Linked DNA regions of Saccharomyces cerevisiae S288C. The gene in region 2 interacts genetically with the main gene of each other region. Each region holds a gene or a part of one and is shown on either strand. Other genes may lie near its edges.

Region 1 (6,865 bases), on a different chromosome or scaffold from region 2:
CAACGCAAATTGCTGTGAAAAGAAGAAGGGAAGTCATCCCGTTAACGATGGAGGTGGAACCAGAAGTCATTCGGGATATAAGGCAAGATACACAAAAGTCTATGAAACTGAATGTTAAAGCGGAGGAAATATCTGTGACAGAGACTGTCAAATCAAAAGAAATGAATGCCTTAAGGAACAATGCTGCATCTATAAGTCCAACTCTTTCAGAGAAGGCACCTTTAGGTTCAATTTCATCTTGCACTGCATCTCAGATTTCACAAAGGTCTTCTGAGAATGTGGGTGCTATTATTAACAATATCAACCCAAACTTAGCAATAGTGCCCTCTTGTAACGAAAAGACCTTTGTAAAAACACACAATGGAATGAAAACTAACTCAGGTATTAATATTTTGCCTGTCCGCAAGAAAAAAAAGGTTTAGTTTGAACTAATATAATGCGATGGTGTAAATGAAATTCAATATTTCATAGTTGCTTCTCAAAACCTGCGTGAAAAATCAGCATGGAAAATGCAAAATGATTATTAATACTATGTATATTTTAAGTGCAATATATTTACGTATCCTTCACGTGTTTTCTAAAATATGTAAGAAGCTTGCCATTTGATGAATACTGTTCAATATTCTCCAACTGTGCGGAAAACTTACTGATATCCGGCTTCTTTGCAGGGAGTTGTTTGTTCTTCAATTCTGATTCTTCTACAATATCTAATAAAAGCACATCATCCCTTAACCCGTATAAGTGCAGTAGATAAGTACCCAAATCCTGTAAGCTTAACTGTATTAAAATTATTCCACTGAGCTTTTCTTCTGATACGGATAGCGATGAAACATTGTCACCTATTTCATCCATGATAACCTCTTTTAATCTATCTGTAGTTAAATCAATGGTTTTGAGTAGGGACACCAAATCGTACTGAGAAACAAATGTGATATTCGAAATGTTAGTGCAGAGAACGAAAATGGACTTTTGAACACTACTATTTGTTGATGTTAAATCGGTGATATCATCTAAATAGGATTGCATGATTCTCTTCAGAACTTTAAAGAACTTTGGGCCATTTTTTTTTCCAGTTCCACATAATTTTTCAAGTAAAGACAAAAAATGATCGTGCTTGTAATAATACTTCTCATCTGTATGAATAGAATAATGTATAGCTTTTGTAACCCCTCGAGATAAACTACTGAATACTAGCGTTTCGTATTTCTCAAAAAGATCTTCTAACAACTCATAGGCGACATGACGAATATACTGGCTAGTAGAGGCAAATAAAGCAATTACAGTTGGAATTGAATGAGAGGGATTTGTGTAACCAAATTTCAAAATCAACTTTAATAATCGAATAGCTACGAGAGAATTCTTTAGATCACGTAGGAGACATAGTTGGAGAATATTGTCTAAAAATCTAGTAGCCAACGCTGAACATACTCCATCATTTGCAAACTCTACCCTATTCGTTTTCAGTAATTTCTTTTTCAAAATGGAGTTCGAAGACAAAGTGCTATTAACGCCAGTGTTTCTCACTGACTTCCTTTCTTCCAGTAGAAAAAGATCATATAAACTTTCTAGAATTACTAGTTTAATATCTAGCTGATCGCTCTGAAATTCTTTGTCCAGTAAATGTAGAACGTGTCTTGAATTGAATAGTTTTGGATGATTTCCACATAATTTAGTGAGATTTTTCACAGCAACCCTTCTTATTACGTGTGTAATTTTGTCTTTAGATAGTACAAGTAGGCATTTGGTAATATGTTCATACAGGGTTTCACCTTCTTGTAAAAATGCAATTTTATCATTGGAGGGTTTAGGAAAGCAGAACCTGGCAAAACCGGTGGATAAATATATCAGCCTTTGCAATTTTCCGTCAACTACAATGGCAGCTTCCTCGTTATTTGCCTTATTTATATATGGATGTAAATGGGAAAGACAGGATGAACATGCTTTAGCTACTCTAGCAGTATCATGACGATGAGTGGCAACAGACCAGATAAGAGGCATAGCTTCATCTATCTCTCTTACATTCATCTTTGGTAGCCTACTCAAAAGGGTCGTCTCTAAGTCATACAAAAATTTCTGTTTAAAGTTGGCCAATTTTTCAAAAGTGCATCTAAAGACTTGCAAGATATAATAGTGGAAGTCAGATTTTTCGTCCGATACCATATAAGGATACAATGCTGTAATGTGGTCTTTAGTCAAAAATGACACAGTAGAATCAGCAAACTTCGCCAAAAGGTTTAAAAAATTTTGTTTATCAACAATCGAATTCTTTTCATTTGTGTCATCTGAGTTGAGCTCGACAATTTTTTGTACCAAAAAGTCGGTAAGAATGGTTAGAACGTGAGTGATTTTATCGTATGCTTCTTTTGAATGCGCTTCTTTGTTTAGGAGATAAAAGTTGAGAAACAAGTCGAAAAGTTGGGAGCATTTCTCATTCATTATAGCCACACGGGACATTACTAGTAGGACTGAAGAAGAAATTTCTTTCAACTTTTCGGGCTGGTCCAATACTTCATGTACCTTTAATATCCATCTATTTAATAAAATCAGCCTAGCCATATCAATTATATTGTCCTCCTCGTCTTCTATTTTCATTAGGATTCTTGCTATTACGTATACCTTCGTGACGATGTCGTTCGTCTCGTCGTACATTTTTTCATTAATTCTTAACACATGTTTTCTTACCATTATGCTATCATCGTTATAGTTGTTGTTAATTTGTTGATAAAATTCGAAGTATGAAGAATTAATACTGACCAAATCTAGAATGGCATCCTTGACAGATGCAGATGAGTCGTTTAAACGCCGGTGAATAGTTTCTTTAACCATTGGGTTTGAAAGTATCACTTTGTCTTTTGAAGCCAACATCGAGAGACATTTAATAGCAGTCGATCTCAGTTTGATTTTATCCTTGGCTAGAAGTGATAATATCAACTTCAAGTATGGATCGTATAGATTCAGTAGTTCAAAGGCGTGCAAAATAGAAAAATAATCCAATTTAATCGTACTAAAATCTGCTTCTCTGTTCTCTAATTCGGGTCCAAGTCCACCATCTTTTATCTGCTCCAATATTTTTTTCAATTCATTGTCAACGGTTATAATTTGTTCTTTGGCATCCTTTGTATACTCTTCTAATATCAAGATCGTACCGAGCCTTAAATTCCAAAGGAATCTTGTTGCAGAACGACGGCATTTGATCGTTTCATTATATGCAATGCATTCTTCAAATGATTTAAAAAAATGCGGCAAAGTTTCGGGGTAATTAATCATTTTAATCAAGTTGTTATCTTCATGGTCTCTAGTTGAGCATTTAATATCAAAAATTGTAGAACCAATATTCCCTATAAGTTGTAAACATATTGTTTCAATGTTTGCAGAAACTTGCATGGATGGGCTGTATACACTTAGAAGTCTCTTTAACAAAGAGCTTAGTATTTTTTCTGTTACAGGCCACTGAGGGGAGGAAATTAGCAATAATAGATCTTGGACAAAGTTGTCAATTACATACCTTAAAGCGGACGGGTTCTTGAAAAACCTTTCCAGTATTGTGTCATTTATATGCTCAACAATGTTAAAAAGAAATTCTTCTTGCTTTTTGTATTCGTTCTTTAATAGATCAATATTCTCTGGTGCAATATCCTTCATCTGATTACAGAAGGAGTAGCAATTAATATTCTCTAACATTGACATTAAAGTAAAGGTAAAATCAGTGATATAAATGTTTTGGTTACCAACTTTTCTTAGTTTTTTTTGTATTCTCTTAGTGGGAAGCTTTTCGATATGAGATAGTAGTTCTTCTATAATAAATCCTCTCTGTTGATCAAAACTACCGAATAATGAAACTAAAATATCAGAGCTGATTCTCTTCACATTATCCCAAAAACTTTGAAATTGGATATTCGTAGTTGCTTCAATGTCATTATTCATCAGCAAGTCGCTAAAGATGTACACAAGCTTTGCCGTGACATTATCATCCAGAAAAGGGCCGTTACGTATGTATTTCGGTAGCAATTCTAGGGCCTCCTGGAAAGTGTCAAATTCTATCTTCAAAGAACCATATTCAATTGTTAATATTTTTAGAGATTCTATCAAGTCGCTTAAAAAATTCACCGGTTCCATGATGTATGATTCCCGATGTAAGTTGCTGTCATTCTTACCCAGTAAAAAAATATTGAATAGTACAATTGTAGAAAGCAAAGCAATATATCGTAACATAGAATCATCTAAACCCATCTTTAAAGAGCTTTTACTGAACTTTATATTACAAACCATCACATCAAGCAATCTCAAAAGCCATGTTATTTCGATTGAGTTCGATAGCTGTGGGTTATCGGTAATATTTTTAATTGTCATTTGTAATTTGGTTAAGCAGTTTGTAGTTAAAACGAATTTTTTATTTGGCAACTGGAGCCAGTACTCGATATTTCCAATTTCAGCAGAGTTTTGGTCAAATCCAACAATATCTAAAATATTTTTAAGATCATTCAAATATTGTTCCGCTAAATTCGCTTGTGTCATGGTTACACCTGTTGAAGTTTTGGTTTTCTTGTTGGAAGAATTGTCGTTGAAACTCAAGTTACCAGCATTCGAAGTCACACTTTCGAGCTTATGCTTTGCCTCCGGTCTGCTTACTATTTCACTTTTTTTCTCGATGTTAATGGAATCATTCAACCCTTTATGGGTTGATAGAACACTCTGCGCTAGCGGTGATAATCCTTCCAAAAAGTTAGTTGGGACATAATCAACAGAATTGGCTGATGACGTAAAATTACTGGGTCTTTTGAAAACAAGCCTTTCTTTTTCGGCCTCATTCTTTATGGAAGAAGTAGTGCTGTTAGCTGTACCTAGAACATTTATATTAACATCTCTGCCATCATCAGCGCTGGTAAAGATAGTCTTGTCAAAAGGTAAAGAAACCCGCATTGGGGCATTTACTAGCGCGGCTAACCCATCCTTAGGAACCAGATAACTCAAAGGCAGGTCTTCTAGGGCCTCTATTATTCTTCCAGGAATATTCTTGTCTTTCCCTGGGTACGACATTGCTAGCCGCCAATTCTTTCAAAAAATGAATAGTTATAAGAACAATACTCTCACAACAAACGAAAAGCCTGAGCACACAGGAGCAAACCAATACACAAAAGAAAAATTGCTATAAGTGGAGCACTCGAATGTGACTTGTTGTTATCGAACTCTAAGCCTGAGCTAGAAAAAACTTTAGTTACTAAACTGCATCGTTCTTTTTCAGCCAGTGTTTTTTTTAAGCGAAGTGGCGGCAGTTTCGCGTTTAACATAAAAGCAATACCACTTTTACCTGTTCGGGCAAAAGGAATAGATATTTGCATATTTGGCAATGAATAGTGCTAATGATTAGGTCATAAAAGCTATTTGTTAACAATGTTCTTGCTTCCTAAGACCTTACTTCATAGTATAAAAATTGGTAATAATGCTACAAAGAGTGCTATTTCGGTAACATCAAATATTTGTCAACAATACTCTATACATCACGAAGTCTACGGCAACTGCGCAATAACACAGTCAATAATTCTATAAATTAGCAGTTTATTGCAATCCCTATTCTTCGATATGCAGATAATAAGATCCGCTATGTCAGACCTTTTGATAGCGAGGATATGATCAAGTTTATAAGTCATACAAACATCCCATAAATTGGAAATACACTCTTCTCTGAACTCTAGAAAAGCATCACCCACTGGTAATACTCTTGGTGGCCCCATCATATTGTCATTAGGAAACAAAGAATGTCGTAATAATGAGAATAAGTTGCCAATTGTCACAGGGCTGGTAATTTTAGTTTGAACAATATTGTCAAATGTTCTATACATGACCCTGTTTAACGCATTTAATTTAGAGATCCAATGCTGAAGCGTTCTGCATATTGAGAATAGGAATGGCTTCCTCATAGATAATTTGAAAAAATCATCGGTGAAAAAAGTAAAAATATATCTTTGTAGAAATGCTGTTTCTTGAATTTCGGCAGTGTTCATATTTGCTGCTTCTGTTGAAGTTGAATAAGCTAAAAGCCTGGTCATTTGCAATATTTTGTGCTTTACATTGGAAACAAACAACCAGGGATCGCATTTAGGCTTTCCATGAGTCACCTCGTTTCTGGTATTTCCTGCAGAATTTAGCTTTATTCTTATGCAAATTTTATTCAAGCCCTCCAGAAGATAATATGGTTCCGCTATTGAATTAAAAATATGCCCGAACACAAGTTCATTTAAAAAGCTATCCAAAAAGCTTCTCTGTAGTAGAGATTTGGTGCTCATTTTACTTTGTATGATTTCAGTGAATAGCATTGGATATCGTTTCGAATCATACAAAGTTAGCTTACAGTACTGTTCATAAACTAAATCGTTATTTTGAGATGAGTCATTTAATGCTTTCAAGTGAGACGAAAGCAAGCAGGGAATATAATCGAGTAAAAGGGCATGGTAATTGATTTTGGAACTCTTCAAATATGTTATTAAATCTTGAACTAAGTTATATAGTTCGGTTAAAAACTTGGAATCATCAGTGGGTATTTTGATACCATACCAAGACTTAACGAAATTTTGGAAAATTAAGGCAATAAAGGTATTTACCTGTAGGTCTGGCAAAGCTTCTATGCTTCTGATTTTCTGATGTAATGAATTTGGGTATATAGAGAAACATAAATCCCTTAGATACTCAACCGAATCTTTTTCAAATTCACTCTCAAACGAAACATCATTACCAGAATTTTTCGTATGACTACAATCTTTCTCCCAAATATCTCCACTCGATTTAGAATTCAGTCGTGTATGTCCTTTTTTTGACAGAAAGCCTTTATATTGATTTGAGGCATTTGGCCTTCGGTACTTGGTAATTA
Region 2 (4,515 bases):
GTGCATTGAAAAAAGGTGAAGTAAGGAATGAAATGATAGTACAGAATTTACAAAAGTTGGTAACCGTTATATATCCTGCTGTCCCGTCAATTTCAGAAGAAGCTGCAGAGATGATCAACTCCCAAATGGAATGGAACCAATACCGCTGGCCAGAAGTTGAGCGCACTACTGAGTCCAAATTCAAAAAGTTTCAAATTGTGGTAAATGGCAGAGTCAAATTCATGTACACGGCTGACAAAAACTTTTTGAAATTAGGTAGGGATGCTGTTATTGAAACTTTGATGAACTTACCGGAAGGGAGAATGTATTTGATGAATAAAAAAATCAAAAAATTTGTCATGAAATTCAATGTGATTAGTTTCTTATTCCACAAGTAATCATATGACGCCATGAATTTACCACTAGTGCTTGTAAATAGTTAAATATTAATGCCTTATAGATATAAATTGTCCAATCTCCTTTTTGGAAGTTATAATATATATATATATATATATATGTATATAAATGTGGATGCATATTCTAAGAATTTTGAACGCTATACTTTGAGAGACTCTTCAAATATGTAAACAAGAATGCTGCAATGTCTCTATATGGATTAGCAGTGTTACTCAAATGCATTAAAATCTTTACTCTCAAGTCGTGAATGTTATTAACGCCCTTTATCCAACCATGCTGGCCAATCTCATCATGATGAACTCGAAAGAAATTGTTAAACGTCTCTTCATTTATGATCCCACTGGTGAATTTTATTTTGGTATTTTCGGCCGTTTCCAGTCGTCTTAGAATAATAATACATATGTAGGATAGCGCTGGTATACCAGTTATCGTGAAAAATTTAGCGTTCTTGAAGTCTGCAGTTGGGATATAAAGATTCTCCAAAATCTGCTTAAAGAAATCTGGTGAGACTCCAAACAAACTTTTGGATGACAGAACTTTATTCCTGTAAAGATAATTTGTCAAATCCATGATATATTGGTTCTGCATCCGAACGAATTTGTTTGTTGACGGGTATTGCATCAATTTATTTTTCGTAGCAACCAAGTACCTGCACGCAGCTGATAATAGCAAAGGATCGTCCGAACTGAACACTTTATTCATGATGTCAGGGCCCACAATCAAATATTGGATCGCATAATCCGACTTCGTTTGTTTCGACAGTTGAGTTAAAATATCTAACGAGCTGATGAAAGCCATCGTAGAAAATCTGTTTGAAGTAGCATTGTTAAAGATTTTGTCCAAAGTTAGCAGGCTTTGCATGTCATGCAGTAGTGTCAACCCGAGTGCTATCAATTTATCATCTAAAACCCAGTTTGTAATCATTTGTAAAACGTAAAAACAAGTTTCAGAAAATGTGCAATTATTGTCGTGACCATCTCGTGTACTCCACATAAAAATACTGGCCATAAACTTAACGAAAAATTCCCTTGTACCACTGATTAGTTCAGGCTTCCATAATGGCAAGATTCCGCCACAAACCTTTTTCAACGTAAGCTCATCGAGTTTTAAGTATTTCAAATTACAAAACGTTTGAATAATGCGAGAAGACAGTTTATTATCCATTGAGGACACCGAAATAATAATGGGAATAACTTCTTGCGGAGTCTCTATCTGATGTGCAAAGCATCGCTTCAATTGCCAAATGCACCATTCGTATGGTGATGACGACTCATCGCGGCTATTTTTAATGAGAATGATACTAGAGTACAAGTGTTTGAGAGAATCCCTAGACATGACTTTTCGCGGCAGTAAAACATTGCTGTTTAAAGATGGCTTCATCATGTAATCTACATCATTGGGAATATGCAATTGTGGCCAGTTTTGAGCTAATTGTTCCAATGAAGTGACATCCCAAAGAGAGACCGTACTGTCAGAGGGAACATATTCTGGAAGTGATTGAAGTCGAAGTGGGTATATAGAATCAGCACCTAATTGATGAATTTCACTCAAGTACATGTCAATTGTGTTTTGGACAGTGTCAGCGGGAAAATTAGCGGGATGTGCTCTGGATAATATTCTTTTCAAAATGGATAGGAAATGCGCATCCAATTTTAAGTTTCGATGACTTTTCAAAGTCTTTCTATTGCAATTGATGGTAATTATTGATTCAGTAATCTGACTGGATGCGCCCACGAGACATTGAAATCGTTGCAAAATAAGCGTCGCACTACCGGGAGCGTCCCGGTAACCTGGATGCATAGCGCATCTCTTGATAATAGACAACTTCCAAGGTTTGACATCAACGGGCGTCGTGGCTTGCCAAATAACCAGGGGAGTTATCCACTTCTGTAAGAACGAGAATTGCCATAAATGTAACCAGATAGAACTGGATATATTGTGTTCTCGTTCTGAATGTACAGGAAATAGGAAATAAACATGCACTAACCATTTGCACAACGCAGATTGTAGGACCGGAGGCGTTTGTATGCGATATCTAGAGAATACCGTTGGCGTACCGAGATGGTTAATAATCTCCAAAAGAAGTTCCTTCGTCAAGTAGCCATCAGGTAAAAAGCAATTTTCGACGATGTACACTTTTGTAACTGTGTCTATTATGGAAGTTTCACAGAGTAACCTTACAAGTGCTTGTAGTTGCGGCGAAGAAAGACCATATTGTTTTGATTTTTCGTATAGCAGGCTTAAAGTGGTTTTAAGGGCCTGTGGTGGCGTTCGTTCGTTAGCATTCGTTAGTGAGAGGATGATATCATCTAGTATAAGACTCATTCATGTAAAAAAAACAAAAATTGAAGGGCGAACCGTATTAGCAGGCGTATTGTTTTTCATTTCATAGTTGATTGTTTTTGATAATAAATGATTCTATAATTTTTCGCGTATTATACAAATAAAAGTAAAAGAAAAATAAGATAGAGGGACATATAAAGAAATAGATGTTTTTATAATAAAGGTCTATACAGTATGGAGCGTCGCGTGGCTTGGCTCAAACTTTTAGAGAACCATTGTAGTCATAAACGGATCTTGATCTGATGTACGGATCTAACTTGGAGTAGTTTTCACAAAGAGCGGTGGAAAGTTGTACTCTTTTCTCCTGCAGTTGAATGTATGCTGGATCGTTCAATGGCTGGTGTTCAATCCATTGGGCAGTGACAGTCAAGAATTGTTCGACCAATTCTTCTCTCTCCTTTTCGATCATAGCGCGAGTCTCGGTGTCTTTCAGATGGACGTCCAAAGAGCCATCTGGTGGAGTGTAATGATCCAAATCATTGTCATTTTCTCCGCCCAGATACCTAGGGATGTATTGGGGTTGGATAAACTTGTGCAATTCGTCGATATTCTTAGTGAAAACAATCTTGGACGCGACGACCGGATCCAGCCAATTCTTGATGATGTTCCAAATCGGGTTAAAGATCCAAGGGGCCTTATGGATAAGTAGATGGCCCAAAGATTCCGGGTAGTGAGCCTCAAAACAAGTGATTAGAAACTTGACGGGGGCATAGTCCATATTGGACATGGAGAACCCGTTCAGATCGAACAAGATGGTGGTGGATGCGGGGTAGTTTTCTTTGAAGAAAAGCTTTGATTGCTCGATGACCAACAGGGAGAATTTTTCCAGCTCCTGTTCAGTTTGGTCGGAAGAATGATGTAATCTAGGTCTCACAAGGATGACTGGCCTCATGTCATTGTCGTAACCCTGGATGGTGGCCTTTTGCAATTCCAGGTTCTTAATGACACCGGTCTCGTTATTCTCATACACAGCTCTTTCGCCACCGTTTATGATCTTGTTAATAGTGTCCTTGCGCCAGTACAAATCGTGACCCAACATGGCGATGGTCTTGTCTGCGTTCCACTTTCTGGCTCTGATAAACTTCAAAATGGTGGCGTCTGGAGTTTCATTCTTGATATCGTGCCAGAACTGCTTCTTGGTCGTTTGCGGGTCTAGATTGGCTAGTGCCTTGTGTATCTTGCCCTTTTCATAGAGGTGTGCCGCTTCAGCGGCTTCGCTGGAGTCCTGTGTATGGTCTGAGGACTGAAGCTTGCTAAACCAGGATGATTTCTTCTTCTTAGCAGGGGTGGACGAGGAGTGGAGGGAGTTATTAGGGAAAATATGAGTTCCATCCACGGGAACTTGCCACAGATGGAAAAGGTGTGTCCAAATTTGCTTAAGGACGACCTCCTGGTCTTCGGTCAACTGTCTATCAAAGGACATAATCTAGTTTATATGTGGTCTTCTTATGTGCTTTTGTGCTTTTATGCTTCTGTGTGCGTACGTATCCGTATATTTGTATGTTTGATTTTGTTTAAAGGAGCGTAAGTGACAAGTGCCAAGATTTAAAGAGCGTACCAAACGCTATTGTTTTCACCATGTGAACAAAGCTGTAACGATTTTATGTACGTACGCAAGAGGACGATGCCGATTGAAGGCAGGAGCTCAACAAACACGAAACAAAACAACGAAGAAAGAAAAGAAATATATCAGAGAACAGAGACCGCCTCGTTTAGGGCCGCACGTATACCGCGCACTCTTGGGACGCAGGGACGCGATGGCCTTGCCATGTGCAA
Region 3 (4,462 bases), on a different chromosome or scaffold from region 2:
AGGTTTTAGTCTTTCAGTTTTTTAAGCCCTTTCAACCTTTTTTAAAAGGTGCGGAGATCCTGCTCATATTTTTTTATGATTAGTTATTTTGATATTATGCGTATGATAAATAATCACACCAAGTAATTCAACCTGAATTTCTTATTCGTGTTTAATATGAAACAGTATGATTTCTTTTATTTGTATAACGCTCCTGATGAATTGTGCAGTCAAGGAAATTAATTAAATAATTAAATAATACTGCATTTATTTTCCACCAAACTTATGTCGTGAAAAAAAATTGTCAGGAGTATAACTCTTAAAAAGTAAGCTACCATTGACATTTTAAAGAAATTGTAGATGAACATATTAAAAGCGCCATAAGGCATACAAAAAAATACGCTAGAAGGCTCATCAAAGATCCTGGTAGCTTCAATGCACTGAAAGCGATGTCAAAATTTAAGCAAGTGCATGGCATTCATTAATTTAAGGATAACATAATAAATTCTGGACAATTTTTCAATAGTTGCCAGCAGGGTGAAGATGAAGCCAGGCTATGTTCAATGTATGCTTTCTTTATATTGTAATTCTTTCACTCGTGTATATTGATTTTAGGTAATTTAACGCTATTTCGATTTTATTTGAAATACCTTCATTAAATTGAGATGTTTCCGATTTAAATGCTTCCAGCTCTACTAGTAACAAATTGAGCTCCCCTGGGTCTAAATTACTATTTTCTTTCCGTTGTTTAATTAAAAATGAAAAATTTAAGTAAAACAGGCCCTGTACTAACCTATTTTCAGTGTCAGAACCGTCACGGATCATTTTAACAAATATAGTTTTCATATCATACCATAATTTGCCGTCAAGTTTTAAACGACTATTTTCTCTACTGCAAATATTGAGGCAGAGCCCTAAATGCAAGAGTATGTTATCAACTTTCGCGTCTGTCAATGGATGTATGCTTTCCAAAATTGTGTTCATTGAACTTTGAAATATCATATCTGCCTCTTTCCATAGCGTATAGTTATGTACTTCCATGTTTGTTAACAAGATTAGGATTTTAATCAACGAGTCATCATCAAGCATATCCTTAAACTGATTATTCAAGTTGCTTATCAGTGAATCGAACATTTCAGGTTGTTCAATATACATGTGGCAAAATTCGGAAGCGGTTATTAATTTTTCTAAAAGAGGAATAAAAGTCTTAACGTGCCGACTGAATAAGTCCTTATTTGAAGCAAGGATGGAGATTCTCTTGATTATATCTAACGATAAATTACCATGCATTTCCCAGAGTGATAATGAATAATAAAGTCCCGTTTTGAATTGAGTCTTCCGAAGAAAGTCTTCGAAATTTAGGTGTGAGAGTTTTTTAATATGCTTATTCTTTTTTGTCCGTATTTTACCATCATCTTTACTTAATTCGATAGAGAAATTGTCAAAGCTTGGCGGGAAATCGGATTGTGATTCACTAACTTTATGTAGTAAATAACCCTGTAATAAGATTAATTCAGGAAAATCCGATCTAAATTGCGCAAAACTAAGCTTAATTATTTCCTTTTTGAAATATCTTTTCGCATATTGAAAAAATTCTTCGTCATTAATAATCATTAGGGATAAATTTAAAAGTTTTTTAAAGTATTCATTGATTGGTACCGTAGTATTGTCATTACTTTTAGAATTGGACAGAAGAAACTCAATATCATCCTGGTATTTTATTGTATCTCCCATATTTTTTAATTCGTTGTAGTGATTTGTTGAAGTTAATCCTTCTTTTTCAGCATTACTGTTGTCAGCGTTATTTAGGGACAAGGTGTTAGCTTTCTGATCTACCTCTTCTCCCATTATTTCATTTTCTTTATTTTTGTTTATTAATATTGTTCTAAATTTGCCATATTTTTTGTCTTTGGATGTGCGTATGCTATTATTCTCTATAGAGTCGTCCATCTTCATCTCATTTTCAAGCATTTTATTCAGTATATCATCGTCAGCTCTCGGTAGCTTCAATATGAATTCATTGATGTCATTGTATATTTTCCTTATTGATTCAAATTCATTGTGCATTGTAATGCTGTCTTCATCTTGTACGTCTGGTTCAATTGAAGACGTTATGTTCGCATCATGCTTTTGGTAAGTTCTTCTTCTTTTTCTCTTAGATGCCTTTGAACCATCAAGGAAATTAAAGGCACTTAACTTTTCATCTTTCATAAATGCCATTGAGGTATCACTGCTAGTGATAATTTTGACGTTTTGGTCATTCCTTTTTGAGTCCAGTTGTGAAGAGGGCTTCTCATTTGCACCATCAAATGACGACGAGCTGTCCTGAGCCTTTCTAGGCTCGTCCAATAATCCCTCTATCGGGTGGTCTGCAATACTGCTCGAAATGGTAGAACTTACATCAGGAATCACGGAGTTTACATCGTCATCACTAAATTCAACATCGGAAGAAGATGGCAAGCCTTTATTAGATCTAAAAGGAGTTCTGAGAACTGGGCCCCTCTTTCCATATGCTCTCATTTTTTCAGAAACAGGATGCTTTAGGGTAAGAAGATGGTTTCGTTTTGCGATAGTTTCTCTGCGCAGTTTTTCATTATTATAATAAAGTGAAGCTTCGTCATCAATAAAGTCGCGTAAAGCTCAGAAAGCCTCCTCAACCAAAACTTACGAAATCTATTAAAAAGGGCTGAAGTAAACATAGAAGGGAGTAAATTAGAATGGAGGTATGTATCTTGCTTTATAAAGGATTATATATCATGAAGACCAGCTTGAAAGCATTTTATCATATCTTCTGCAAATAACCTTGTTGAATCAAACGCTCTACATCAGACTGCCTTACGAAAAACTGGGAGTCTTTAATAAGGTTAAACACGCCGTATTCAGTTTGAATCTCACCAGCATCTTTGAGCACTCTAACATCAATAAATACATCGCTCGGAGGCACTAAAGAGCCGGATAAATCAATATCGACCAAGTCACCACTTTTTAAATCAGTAATTAAATCGCAGTATTCTTTCAAATATTCCTGCTCTTGATGAGAAAGGTTATTTGTGTCTTGTTGGCTAAACGTAATGCTACTCATCAAGTCCAGACCATTATTATTCCAAGCCATAGAATCTAGTATGTCTGTTCTCAACCTTTGGTATGCTAAGAGACATCTCTTGTTCCTTTCCATACATAACAAGGTAACGAAATACTGGCATTTAGCCACCTTATCATCTAGCATTCCTAGTTGCTGCTGTTCTTTAAGATATTCCGTATTTTTACGTAAATTTGAAACTTCTTTCAGAATATTTCGTATTATATCTTCATGATACATGGGTAAATTAACATCTTGATTACTTCTTGCGTACAGCTGTTTTGTTCTTTTAGCTTCTAATACTAATTTATTACCTAAATCTCCATACATGATTCTCTGTGAGCATGGCCGTTTATAAACGATTTTCCCTCACATCTATTTTTCAGCTTTCTTCGTTAGTTATTTTAAATTACAATTTTCGCGTTGTAACGACAAGAAGGTTTTGAGCAAATCTGACGTTTCGACTTTAAAGAAAACAAAAAGGTTTGATTAAAGACTAGTAACAAAGATATTTAAATTAAAGTTAAAGATCTATACTATAAATTCTAGTCATGCTTCAAGGTTTCGGCGAAAACAGCAGCTGGCTTGGTACCAGTCTTTTCAGCCTTCTTGGAACCTAGCTTTTCAGCAGCAAAGACCTTGGCGTAAGGGTTCAATCTCAACAAAACTTGCTTGTTCTTCAATGGGTTCTTCTTCAAAACGTGAGTACGCTTTTGAGTAGCTTGGCCAGCTGGTCTGATAGCAGATTGGATTTCAGAAGAGTTGATAATTCTGGTGACATCAGAAGTGGAGATGATGTGGGATGGCAAAGTGTAACCGACCTTGGAGGAGGCAACGGTTTCGGAACCCCAGACTTGGTCCAACTTGGTGAAAGCAGCTTCGGTCCAGATAACGAATCTACCCAAGTGAGCACCTGGAGCCAATTGCAACAAGTTCAAAGAAGCAACGTTGGCAGTTTCAACACCTGGAACGTTTCTCAAGGCCTTGACGATACCGTTGTCTTCAGCGTAGACAACTAATGGACCTCTTCTTTGAGTCCATCTTCTGTTTCTGTACTTACCCTTACCGGCTCTCAATTTCTTGGACTTCAAGACCTTCAACAAGTCGGAGTGAGCACCAACAGCCTTCAAAGCAGCAACAGCTTCCTTGGTCTTTTGAATAGATTCCAAGTCAGTGGAGACAACCAATGGGATTTCTGGAATCTTTTCGACTCTGTGACCTCTGGCCAAGACCAAAGAAGCAACAGCAGTAGCAGCAATAGCAGAAGCAGTGGCGTAACGCTTTTCGTTGTGGTTAACCTTAACGTTCCACTTTCTCCAGGTCTTAGTTGGAGCAAACATACGACCACCACGACACATGTTACCGAAGGCACCTTGACCGGATCTACCGGTACCACCACCACCA

Evidence for each region. Genes that interact genetically often act in the same process or in processes that back each other up.
Region 1: mutations in CTF3 (region 2) and SCC2 together harm fitness more than expected from each alone (negative genetic interaction), as found in Saccharomyces cerevisiae (3 studies listed by BioGRID).
Region 3: mutations in CTF3 (region 2) and RAD61 together harm fitness more than expected from each alone (negative genetic interaction), as found in Saccharomyces cerevisiae (5 studies listed by BioGRID, with this or other methods).

Annotation. Positions count from the first base shown.
Region 1 is NC_001136.10:819,467-826,331, reverse strand, and holds SCC2 (cohesin-loading factor complex subunit SCC2), read right to left. Parts: upstream 5,038-6,865; coding exon 556-5,037; downstream 1-555. Other genes in the region: SAS4 (Sas4p), read left to right, coding at 1-422; NVJ3 (Nvj3p), read right to left, coding at 5,508-6,865. UniProt on the Saccharomyces cerevisiae protein: Plays a structural role in chromatin and is involved in sister chromatid cohesion. Forms a complex with SCC4 required for the stable association of the cohesin complex with chromatin, which may act by hydrolyzing ATP from SMC1 and SMC3 heads.
Region 2 is NC_001144.5:877,929-882,443, reverse strand, and holds CTF3 (Ctf3p), read right to left. Parts: upstream 2,722-4,515; coding exon 520-2,721; downstream 1-519. Other genes in the region: leucine--tRNA ligase NAM2, read left to right, coding at 1-377; CSR1 (Csr1p), read right to left, coding at 2,936-4,162. UniProt on the Saccharomyces cerevisiae protein: Component of the central kinetochore, which mediates the attachment of the centromere to the mitotic spindle by forming essential interactions between the microtubule-associated outer kinetochore proteins and the centromere-associated inner kinetochore proteins.
Region 3 is NC_001136.10:472,083-476,544, reverse strand, and holds RAD61 (Rad61p), read right to left. Parts: upstream 2,500-4,462; coding exon 556-2,499; downstream 1-555. Other genes in the region: DNA replication protein PSF1, read right to left, coding at 2,762-3,388; 60S ribosomal protein uL4 RPL4B, read right to left, coding at 3,604-4,462. UniProt on the Saccharomyces cerevisiae protein: Involved in resistance to ionizing radiation.